Drosophila melanogaster: one gene and its partners. The protein of the gene in region 1 interacts with the protein of each later gene in a pairwise test. Each region holds a gene or a part of one and is shown in the gene's direction. Other genes may lie near its edges. The genes, in order: CG7006, CG42369 and CG4267.

The links.
Region 2: the proteins of CG7006 (region 1) and CG42369 interact in a two-hybrid assay, tested with the Drosophila melanogaster proteins (one large-scale study listed by BioGRID).
Region 3: the proteins of CG7006 (region 1) and CG4267 interact in a two-hybrid assay, tested with the Drosophila melanogaster proteins (one large-scale study listed by BioGRID).

Annotation. Positions count from the first base shown.
Region 1 is NT_033777.3:24,848,688-24,851,885, forward strand, and holds CG7006 (uncharacterized protein), read left to right. Parts: upstream 1-1,939; 5' UTR 1,940-2,027; coding exon 2,028-2,083; intron 2,084-2,134; coding exon 2,135-2,621; 3' UTR 2,622-2,698; downstream 2,699-3,198. Other genes in the region: Esp (epidermal stripes and patches), read left to right, coding at 1-617, 679-981, 1,044-1,546; Nct (nicastrin), read left to right, coding at 2,962-3,025, 3,151-3,198.
Region 2 is NT_033779.5:6,395,215-6,399,044, reverse strand, and holds CG42369 (uncharacterized protein), read left to right. Parts: upstream 1-1,795; 5' UTR 1,796-1,951; coding exon 1,952-3,157; 3' UTR 3,158-3,192; downstream 3,193-3,830.
Region 3 is NT_033779.5:2,240,676-2,245,840, forward strand, and holds CG4267 (uncharacterized protein), read left to right. Parts: upstream 1-1,702; 5' UTR 1,703-1,846; coding exon 1,847-1,916; intron 1,917-2,017; coding exon 2,018-2,270; intron 2,271-2,884; coding exon 2,885-3,686; 3' UTR 3,687-4,599; downstream 4,600-5,165.

The DNA of each region.
Region 1 (3,198 bases):
TGGAATTGTGGAGCTGCTGATGGGCCTCTTCGGACTGGGCTTCCTGATTGACTTCGTCTCCGGACCAGTTTCCTCGGGCTTCACCTCCGCCGTCTCGCTGATCATCCTCACCTCGCAGATCCAAAGTGTGCTGGGCATCACGGCCAAGGGCAACACCTTCGTGGAGATCTGGACGCAAGTCTTCCACAACATCGAGCACACAAGGGCAGGAGACACGGTACTAGGGCTAACCTGCATTGTCATCCTGCTGTTGATGCGCAGTCTGTCTTCCTGTCGAATTGGACCAGTCGACGAGAAGGAATGCTCATCCTTCCAGCGGGCTGTGAACAAGATCCTTTGGATCGTGGGTACTGCTCGAAATGCCATTCTGGTGGTCGTTTGCTGCATCATGGGCTATATGCTCCACACCGAGGAGCACGGAGCTCCGTTTCGAGTGGTGGGAGAGATACCACCCGGGCTCCCCAGCATCCAGTTGCCACCCACATCGTTGACTGCCAATGAAACCAGCAATGGAGTGGCCGAGGGATTCGTGGAAATGGTTCACAGCATGGGTTCCGGCTTGGTGGTGATTCCCTTGATCTCGCTCATGGAAAACATAGCCATCTGCAAAGCGTTTGGTGAGTCTTAAGCTCTATCTTTCCCTATATGGTTCCCTATAATAATAGTTGATCCTTTCAGCCAATGGCAAGCCAGTGGATGCCTCGCAGGAATTGATTGCCATTGGAACGGCCAACATCTTCAACTCTTTTGTCCAAGCCTTTCCGGGCACTGGAGCCCTTAGTCGTGGAGCAGTCAATAATGCCAGTGGTGTCCGTACTCCCCTGAGCAATATTTACTCCGGTGGCCTGGTCATGATTGCCCTGCTCTTCCTCACGCCCTACTTCTACTTCATTCCACGCCCTACCCTGGCAGCCATCATTATATCCGCCGTGGTCTTCATGATTGAAGTAAAGGTGGTCAAGCCCATGTGGAGATCGAAGAGTAAGTCATACAAAATATGGAGATAGTGGTCATTTGTTCATCTCACTTTAATAACCCATTAGAAAGTGATCTGGTGCCTGGAGTTGGAACCTTTGTGGCCTGCCTTGTCTTGCCGCTGGAGTGGGGCATCCTCATTGGAGTGGGACTCAATGTCATCTTTATCCTCTACCATGCTGCGCGTCCCAAGCTGAGCACCGAGCTACTGACCACACAGTCGGGTGTGGAGTACTCAATGATCACGCCAGATCGATGCCTGATCTTCCCGTCTGTGGATTATGTGAGGAATCTGGTCAACAAGCAGTCCATTAGGCAAAATGTCCCAGTGGTCATAGATGCGTCGCATGTCTACGGGGCTGACTTCACAACGGCCACGGTTATAGACTCGCTGATCAGTGATTTCAATCAGCGAGGACAACTGCTCTTCTTCTACAACCTCAAACCGAGTATCTGCTCCATTTTCGAGCACGTGTCGGCGGCCCAGTTCGTGGTCTACTACCAGGAGCAGCAGTTGGATGAGCTGCTCAAGGAGCGCAACTATGTGCAGAAGCGGCTCGAGACGGCCTAACTGGCTTATTCTCCTCAACACGTGATACAAATAATTTAGCCTAAGTGTTTGCTTTAATTATTTATGGCGTTGTAAATAGATTGTAAACTAATTGTGTAGTATTATCCAGAGCACACAACTATTAGAAATTGTAAGGTGAACAAATAAGTGTATTTCTTAATTACGTAATAATAACAAACAAAAATAATTTATCTTGTTTATTTCATGAAAGAGTAAAAGTCAGTGAGATTGGTTAACTCAAATCAATTAAAACTATTATTCAGTTTTGTTTATCAGATATATTTGATTTTGAATTTAAATACTTGGGCAATATACAACACTTGATAATGGCGCTATACAGCACTCTTAAGCTATCGATAAAAGCTATAGATAGACCGATATATTCAGTGCTGTTAGCCGTCCCTACTCAACACTGAAACATTTCTCACGTGTAAAGTTGAGCAGTTTGTTTTCCTCTTTTTTCCGCTTAATTTAACTTAAAATGAAACGCCTGAGCGACGAACGTGCCAAGATCTTGTTCGAGCACCTGTCCAAATAGTGAGTACCCAAAACAGATCATCGCAATGCAGCTAACAAGTGCTCTTACAGCATTGGCACAAATGTGAAGCATTTGATTGACCGGCCAGATGGAACATATTGCTTTCGGGAGCACAAGGATCGGGTCTACTACGTCTCGGAGCGGATTTTGAAGCTGAGCGAGTGCTTCGGCTACAAGCAGCTGGTGTGCGTGGGCACCTGCTTCGGCAAGTTCTCCAAGACCAACAAACTGAAGTTCCATATCACGGCCCTCTACTACTTGGCGCCCTACGCCCAGTACAAGGTGTGGGTGAAGCCCTCCTTCGAGCAGCAGTTTCTCTACGGCAACCACATACCCAAAACAGGACTGGGTCGCATCACGGAGAACGCCGGCCAGTACCAGGGCGTGGTGGTCTACTCCATGAACGACCTGCCTCTGGGCTTCGGCGTACTGGCGCGTTCCACAACGGACTGCAAGACCGCCGATCCCATGACCACCGTATGCTTTCATCAGTCGGATATCGGCGAATATATTCGCGCCGAGGACACGCTCTTTTAGATCCATAGATGCTAAGTTTTTACATGTTTTGTAGCAATAACCATGTTTAGGTAAATAATAAGTATGCTGAAAAACGGATAAACTGCTTTTGATTTTATATTTTTAATGTTAATACTGATAATAATAATAATTGATAATAAAACTTACACTACATTTCATAAATTATTATTAAAAAAAAAAATTTTAAATAGTGAGCCAATATTTTGTGGTATATTTTATGCAAGGTATTTTTTGAGTTTGAAATAGTATATACCCGCATTTTCAATGCCAATGGTATTTTGTACCGAAACGGTCACACGCAACACTGCAATTTCTGGACGCGATTTCGTGGGAATCTTCGATGGAAATGCGTCTGAATGCGGCTTCCATATGGCTGTTAATACTGTCGTATGGAGCAACTATTGGTAATAATCAGGACGAAAACAAAGTGGAGCTTCCAGTAGCGACCGGCGTCGAAAACCCGCACGCCCACTTTTTAATATAGGCCAAATAACCTGAGTCATCTAACCCGAACTTTCTTTGTCCACAGCTCAAGGAGAAAGAACCCGCGATAAGATGTACGAGCCCATTGGAGGAG
Region 2 (3,830 bases), on another chromosome or scaffold:
AATTTTATGACAATATCTTCGATTTAAATGGAAATCATGAAATCTTGCATTAAGTACTTTTCGCATTTGTATTTACTTTGGGAATTCTGATCCCAAGTAATGTAGCTGAAAGAACTTAAAATTCTCTTATACAGATGACTGTCCAACATCTTTATTGGATATAGATGTGTGCATACCCAATGCCTCTAGGAGTACAGGGTATTTATTCATATAAAAGAGCACAACTTAGAATGTAACTTAGAATGATGCTCGGTCAACGCGCGGGATGAGCGATAAAATCAAAGCACAGTATAACCAAAACAATTGTTCAAAAAGAAGAGCAATTTTTTCGGACAATGAAGAAAGCGCATAAGAAGTGTTTTGAAAAAAACAAAAGTTTAACTCCTTTAAAATCATTAAAACGCTTTTAGCGCTTTTCACGCCCCTGGCCAGCGAGAATTTCCACCCGTCTGGCAAAGCGCTGGAAAGTTTAGTTTCGGCTTTGTTACCGAAAAAACAGAAAGACAAAAAAAAAAAAAAGGAAAACTGTCGGCGATGATGGAAAAAGTGGCAAAGTTTTTCTCAAAGGCATCACTGGCGAAGTATAAGAATAAAATGACCGACCATGAGTGACCGGAGCAAAGCTCTATGGGCTAGTAGATACCCTAACCAGATGACTTTCTTGCGAATAGATTTTGTCACTTAAGTGCCAGCAATGTGGAGGGCAGCCGTTCCTCCAGCCATGACTCCTTGGCTTTCGTCCTCCAGAAATCCTTTGTCCTTGGCCACAGTTTGAATCAAAGTGTCTTGGTCGTTCGCCATTGAAGCGAATGCGTAGCCCATGCCAATTGTGCAATTGTTGGAAAATTTCTTCTTCAGGTTTTTGGTATCTTTTATTTTTTCTTACATTTTTTTTTTTCCTAAAAACTTTATCGGTGTGCCTTTCATTTTTTCTTAACCATTTTTCCCCATTTTTACGCTCTTTGCCAAACCGTTTCCATAGTTTTTTTTTGCGTTTTGGGTTTCGTCTTAAAAGGTGTTGGCCATTATGCGGTTGCAGATACCCTTTGATCGAATATTAAAGGCTAATGCACAGAAATGTTCGAACGAAATCGAAATCAAGTGTTTTCGCTAAAAGTTGGCAAAGGGGAAGTGGCATGAGTTCAATCAATTTGACGAACTTCAATCAAGCTGCGCCATAGAATGAAGAACGACGAGCATCGCTGATTTGGAATCCATGTGGATTCATGCCACATCCCATTTGGGATTCCGCTGAAGTTCTGTCGTCAAATGGCAGCAGTCTGCAGTCTGCAACTTTAAGCTAACTTGTGATAGGTATCCCGCACACGCGCTCAGTTTGAGTTCGGTCAACAATTGCCCGCACAGACAAATTGGGAAGGAGCGCTGACTATTTGATACATTGTAGGGACCAATGTCCTGGCCATTTGCAGTTGCACGGGCACCAGGTTACAGCGAATCGATTCCCTCATTCAATCCTATCCCGATTCACCAGTCAGTTGTTGCCACTAATGCCCTTTCGACGAACAATAGTTGTCGAAATGGGGAAAGGATAAAAATGCATTACCTTCAAATAAAAAGTTATGTATTAAATTGTGCTGGTTTCTGACAGAGGAATTGTAATCAGCGCTGAACTCTTTCCTTTCTTATTTTCGCTGTCCTTAATTTGCGTTCGATTATTAGCAGAAAATAAAATATAATATAATTTGCACGAATTGGATTACCCATTATTTCTCTCAGTGCCAGCTCCGTAGCGATAAGGCTGTCGAACTGAGCGCAGTTCGCTTTCGCACTGGTTAATCGTCAGTGGTCGGCTTGGCATATCAGACGAACTAACCGCATCACCGACTTGACTACTGACCCCAATCTAAGCCCCTTCGTCTAATCAGCCAACTGGCGGCGACAACAACGCAGTTTCTGCAATCAAAATCAGTTGGAGCCAGCTCCCTCTAAGATGATGATCGAGTGGTGGCTGCCATGGGTGTGCCTCTTGCCGCTCATGCAGGCGGATCCTGTTGCTCCCCAGCTGGATCTTGGTGTGAAGGACTTCCAGCTGGAGCTTCTGCGCGAGTTAAGCGACCTGGTGCAACAGCGGATTGAACCGAGTCTCAACGACTACCTGGATCGTCTAGGACGCATTCCTCGGAATGCCAACTACACCGAAGAGATGAGTGCAGCTCGCGCAACACCAAAGCTTCAATTGAAGGTGACGCTCATCAAGCAGCTGCTCGACGTGCGTCCGCACCTGGACACGGATATGGAGTACACCATTGTGCTGCGCAACCTGGTCTTTCTGAACCGAGTCAGATCCACGCTGAGGGCTGCCGAGGAGACTAGCACACAAGAGATCCGAATGATGCGCATGCACCGCCTCTGCCAGCAACTTGACCGACCGGCTCCTCATCGCGGCAGTCGCCTGATCAACGAACAGACAGTCGGGGCGGCATTGGGGCAACTCAATCTGACCAAAAAGGAGGTGAACTCCACCGGCTTGGATCTCAATGAGTTCGGGGCGCAGCTGTACGAGCGGGTCAAGTTATCCGGCGCCGAAATCATCGACAACTACCTGCACATACTGCGTTCCCTGCTGCAGGACATCATCGACGGTGACCATGCTGATCTGGCCGGGAGCAGTGCCAAGCTGGACAAGATGCAGCAGCAGCTGGACGTCATGCTTGCCACGGAGGACTTCTTCGAGAAACGTCAACGGGTGTATGCGTACCTGGAGCACCACTTGCGCACCGATTACGAGGAGATGCGGGACACATCGAGCAGCGAGCACATCACCGAACATCTTCTCGCCCAGCTGAAGACCAAGGGACTGGACCTGTTCGTCATCTTTCTTTTTAGCAATTTTGAATTCCTAGACCTGGTGCACGAGCACTGGGAGCAGCTGTTGCCACAGTCACCCAGTTTGCTATACGACGAGACCGCACGCCAATTGTACGATCTGCAGCAGCTGTATCAGGTCTTCAAGCTGGACACGGAGTGCGAGGCCAAGTACACGGCCTACTCGGACGCACTGCGTCGCTTGCACGAGCGGACCGTGGAGCAGGGTCAGCGCAACCGGCACATCTTTGAGCTGCTCCACAACGCGGCACAAAGCGTCGGCACGGTTACCTTCAACATGATCCGGGCCAAGTGCAATGAGCTAAGATGAGATGACATTTATAATAAAACCAAACTTTGCTACTTAAATGATGAGAGTTGCGTGCTTTTGGCTATATAGTTCCACATACTAATATCTTATATTGAAGACATCGCCTGTGCTGCAATTGACAGCGTTTGAAAGGACAAGTTTCACAACATAATTACATTTTGCCAGTTCCTGCGGTTGTCGCCTGCTTTTAATATCCGTCTGCCGCATCTGATTTCGCTTAAGTATCGTCCAGGAACACCTTTCCACATCTTCGGGGTGAGCGGACAGCAACTTCCTTTTGCCGCATTATGCAGATGTTGCCGTTAGTGTTGCTTCTCCTGGTGTTGCCACTGCTCGTTGTTTATCAGATGCTGCCAGGGCTCTAAGGATTCAACTCTTGCTCCTGCTTCAGCTCCAGCTGAAGCTGCAGCATCATGGCTCCCTTGTGGTACCGATGGGCCTTCAGACTAATGACTGCTGCTGCCGCTGTCGTTGGCCAAAGCCAGCTAATTAATTGTCGTCGTTGCAGGTGATTAGAACTTAAATGAGTTGCCGGTGCAGCAGAAGTTTCCGTGGCACAGTTAGCCGTCAAAAAAAGGACGACATGGTGGTATAGCCATCCCGAATAGCAGACATGGTGGTTGCTATGTTATGCAGCTGTTCTGTGGTCATACGATAGCTTTTATATGACAAA
Region 3 (5,165 bases), on another chromosome or scaffold:
AATCTTTAAAGTTTCCGTGTCCAAGTTCAGACCCGACTGCACTTGCCAACTGCATTAAGTCAATAGAAAAAGTTGCAGTCATCGTTGTAGAGCTAAAAACTAAAAGTCCCCAGGACAAAACATCCCCCATTCCCCCATTTGCTGCCCCCTTGAACCGCATAATAAGCGCTTTTTGGGGCTACGCCTGACTAAACCAAAAGCGGCGTCAAGATTTATTCTCGGAATCTCGTCGTACTTTGTTATGCTTAAAAATGTTAGTTGTGGATTTACAGTTTTTCCGTTTTGGCCAGAAAACTTTTCACCCTCCGCTCCGAAACTTTGATCGGTAGAGTGATGAAAAAGTGGACGAGCAAGGGAGGTGGGATGTTGAATTGTTGTTGCCAAAACTATTTAAATTTAAACCATATTCCAATGAAGTTATTGAATTTTCCGATATAGGCAAAAGGCAAAACCCTTTCACTTAAATCTCTGCGAAACAGTCTTTAAGTTAAGCTCATTCCAAGCTGGGCAAAAACTTTTTCCGACACATGACAAGGGATTCAAAGTGCAGTAAATTTGTTCGGAATGGAAAACTGTGACCAAGTCTCTGAATTTTCCTTTTCCAGGAACCGAATTCAAATTTCACCCTCAGCCGCAGGAATTCTGCACCACATCCTTCATCCATTTCAGTTGGTCGCGAGGCATTGCCAATTAATTTCCAACATCTAATTGGTGGTTGGCCAAATTTATTGGTCTCGTGGTGGATGGGCTGTTTGCCCTGCCCCCCCAGGATCTGTTTGCGTATTGATTGATGCCTGGAGGTCCTTGTGCCAATCTGAGGTGAACTGCATACCTTGTCGAGGGCTCAAGTAACTCGCTTTGCCCCTCGCGGATTTTCTAATCAACAAGGCAGCAGCCCAAATTTGCATAATTAAAACGTTTTCATGTGGCGCAGGTGGAAGGCAAGAAAGGCCACAAGAAAACCCACCCGCCCCAATTTTCCATTTTCTTTGCCAGCCGAAAAACTGACTCGCTAAGTGACTGAAAATTTGTCGCCTCATTTGAGTTTGGATTAATGAATTATGCACTCGGGGATGCTTAATTAAGCGGGTTTCGAATGTGATTAGGACCACGCAATTAGCCGATAGGTCTGAGCATTTTCGGGATCTGCGATAAGCATTCGCGCTGACTGACAGCCATAAAAACGTGGCCCCAGGATTCGGAAAACCATACTCATTACGCTGCCTTTTTCTGTATTTTACAGCAGGTCAACTTAATGGGGTAATTAACTTATCTGGGTTAAGAAAGGATGGATCGGTTAACCTTTTATGCGTGCCAATTAGCGCCAGAAGGGCTTATGGTTTTGTATAATCATAACAATTTGTCGGTTTTTTAAGGATATTTACTTAAAACTGCATAATACACTTATAATTTTCATGAGTTTTTGTTGTTTTAAACAGATAACAGCACTTTATATTTCTTTATACCTCTAATTTTCAAGATCATCAGCCTGCTAACCTAATCGATACTCTCTATAAGGAAGTATAATGATCTATGAGGAGAGAGAGAGAGAGAGAGAGAGAGTGAGCGAGCTGCGATGATCAGTTATCACTGGAGTGAGTAACCCACTGAGCGTAGACTTGGGGTCGCCGCGCTCTCCGCTCCGATTCGGAAAGTGGAGCTCGCAACGCTCGACCATCGAGAGATTGGCGGAGAGCTGTGTCAGTTGGTTGCGCACGCACCAGTCGACCGGTCAGATCTGCGGCTTATTCCGCCGGCGTTCGAAATTTATAACGGTGGAGATCGGTCATCGGACGCACTACACTCGATCGGTCAGAAGCCCCGAGGGAGATATCTTGGAACAGCCATGATCTCGCAGCTGGGACGGATTAGCATCATGAGTGCGGTGCTTTTGGCATTTGCGGCCATCGTATTTGGTGGGTAATATTCACACATTTCAAGGTCTTATCACAGATCTGTGTAGAAATTCATTTGATTGATATATTTTTGGTTTGCTTGCTATATCGTCTTTAACTAGCCAGCAGCTCGGAGAAAACCGAACTCGATCCCAATGCCACCTGCAACTACACGCTGGTGAAGAAGAAGACCTTGGGGGTGGATCCCTCGTTCTGGAAGAAGTTCTTCAAGCACCTCATACCCTTCACGAGTTCGAGGGGCAAAATGCAGTTCATACTCTTCAAGCGGGACTTCGCGGACTGCGGAAGGGAACTGTTCGTGGGCGATGTGGAAAACCTGAGGAACTCGGGCTTCGATGCACGTCATCAAACAAGGTAAGGGGGATTTCCGGGAAGATTAAAGCCCCGATCGAATGGGGAACTTTGCAGCGAAGTGAGTGTGCCACAATCAATTCATTACACTGAACGGTGAGATAATGGCTAAAAGCTGTACAAACCTTTCAGCTCGCAACAATTGACAGTGTATTTAGTATTCATACTACCACTAAGCCCCAGAAATTAATGTGAGAGCAAAGCACCAATCTAATGAATAGAACCAAAACAAATATTTGCTAGATTCTCTCACCAAATAATTTATTTTTTATATTTCGCGACTAACACGAAAACAGGTTTCTCTGCTTTATATATTTACATTTTTTGGTTGAGCTTTCGTTTGAATTATCGCCATTGAGTCATTGCCATTGGCCTGACAATTGATTTATTGCTAATTACAAGTTAATTCATTATAATAGCTAACAGATAGTAATTGCACAAATTTACACCAAATACGCCAAGCAATACACCAATTTTGCATTAAAAGATAAGATATCAGGCGAAGTTGATATCATATATACATAAATGAATTGAAATATGTTTATTTTAAAGGGAATTGCTATTAGTTTAGTATACATTGATATATTATATTGACTTTCCTGACTGCTTATTTTTAGGATAGTCATTCATGGCTGGATGAGTCAGAGCAAAGGTTCGCATATAAGGAAGGTTAAGAACGCATACCTCAGCCTGACCGATCCGGGACCCAACGGAGAGCCCGCCCCCTACGAGGACTTCAATGTGATCGTATGTGACTGGAGCAAGACTTCCACGAACGTAAACTACTACGAGGTGGCCAAGACGGTGGAGGACATGGGAGCCCTGCTGGCGGAACTGGTGCGCTATCTGAACCAGGAGGCGAACATGCACTACGACGACGTATACGTCATTGGACACTCTCTGGGAGCGCAGATCGCCGGCAGTGCTGGCAAGCAGATAATGCCATATCGATTCAACACCATATACGCTCTGGATCCGGCGGGTCCACAGTTCCGGGAGAAGAGCGACGAGTACCGAATCGATGCTAGTGACGCCTCCTATGTGGAGTCCATTCAAACCAGCGTTAGCTTTGGCTTCGAGCAGCCCGTGGGACACGCCACCTTCTATCCCAACTATGGGAAGAATCAGAAGAAATGCTATGTCTATGGCTGTTCTCATAAGAGATCCCATGACTACTTCATAGAGTCGCTGACGAGTCCGGCGGGATTTTGGGGACCGCGCTGCGAGCGTCACGATGATGGCACCTGGCTGCTCCTAATGAGCGATGGAGAGTTCCGGATGGGCGGGGAGCCCTCAATCCCCAAGAACGGAACTTTCTATGTGAAAACCTACTCAAAGCCACCCTATGCCATGGGCCACAGGTGGCAAACGGAACCGCCTCCACGGGAAGATGATATTGAGAACTCCACGGAAGAGTAGGATATTAGTTAATATGTGTACATTTGTTGATGAAATAGAAGTTTGGTATTTATAATTGGTTATTTTTCTTTTATAGAGAATTTATTATAAATAGTACACCTATTTCTAGAAACATTTTTTTAAGTTACTTCTTATCTCGCAACAACGTGAGCCAATTAAGTTTTATGGCGAACTATTCACAAAGAAAAACCATCTAGCGAGTGTGTAAGTCAGCTGGGAATAACTATTAGTAACCTAAACTTCAAGATAGGTATATAAACCTCACGAGGCACGGAAGGCTTATCCACTCTTTCCACAATATTCAACCGAAAATGTTCCGCGCTCAACGTGTTTGCTTTTACTTTATAGCTTTCCTGGCCTTCGCAGCTGCCAGACCTAAAATAAACTCGCAAATTTCCCAAAATCAAGTTGGATTTCGATTGTCCAATGTTTTGACCAAAGAAAGTGTTGCTTCCAAGTCATCAATGTCCACAGAGGCAACCAGTGAACCATCCACTGTGACTTCTGACGTGCCCACACTAACTTCACCATCATCATCATCATCTGAGGAAACTAGTGAAGCACCTGAAAGTTCCAGCCAGCAACTATCACCATTGACTGAAAGCTCCAGCGAAAAGGTATTTGAGGTGACCACAGTACCTTCATCTTCGTCGGCGGAAACTAGTGAAGCATCTGAGACTTCTAAGGCATTCACCGAAACAACCACCACCACGGAAAGTGACGTGACATCTGAAGATTCCACCGAAGATGAGTCATCTGAAGATTCCACCGAAGATGAGTCATCTGAAGATTCCTCCGAAGATGAGAGCTCCGAATCAAGTGAGGAATCAGAGGAAGGATCGTACTACTATGATGATTCGGAATACGACTACTACGATAGTTACTTATATTATTGATTCATCGCGTTACCATTAAACTTTATGTCAGATCGGAATACAAATCTTTTTGAAGAGGCTTGAAAATTTAGTAAAGTAAACAAAATGAAGCTGTCATTCATACTGGGTCTTGCCGTTTTTAGTCTTTTGGCTTCTACAGGAGCATTGCCGGTGCCTCAAGCTCCATTGGTTATGGCATTGGTCACCAAACCCGAAATGGATATTCCAGATATTGATCTCTGGGCCAGGACTTAAAAGGTGAGCAGAGATGCCAATTTTCGACGCCAAATCTTGATGAAACGTTTTAGTTACAGGATACTTTAGACTGCCTTCTGCACACTGTTTTTCGCCCTGATTCGCTGCATATTTGGAAAAGAATTTTTAATTAAAACAAACAATATGTTACCCAAATTGTTGCTGCTGCTTTTGGAGCGCCGAAAAGCTGTGCAAAATTGCACATATTGGACAAGAGGCTGCGACGGGTTGTTGCTAATGCATTTACTTGGCTTAATTAGTTGAGATTCTACATTATTCATACGCCACGTGTGACCAGCGGCCACCCACTCGCCTGCAAATGCCCACCCGCCCAATGTGCTGATGCCTG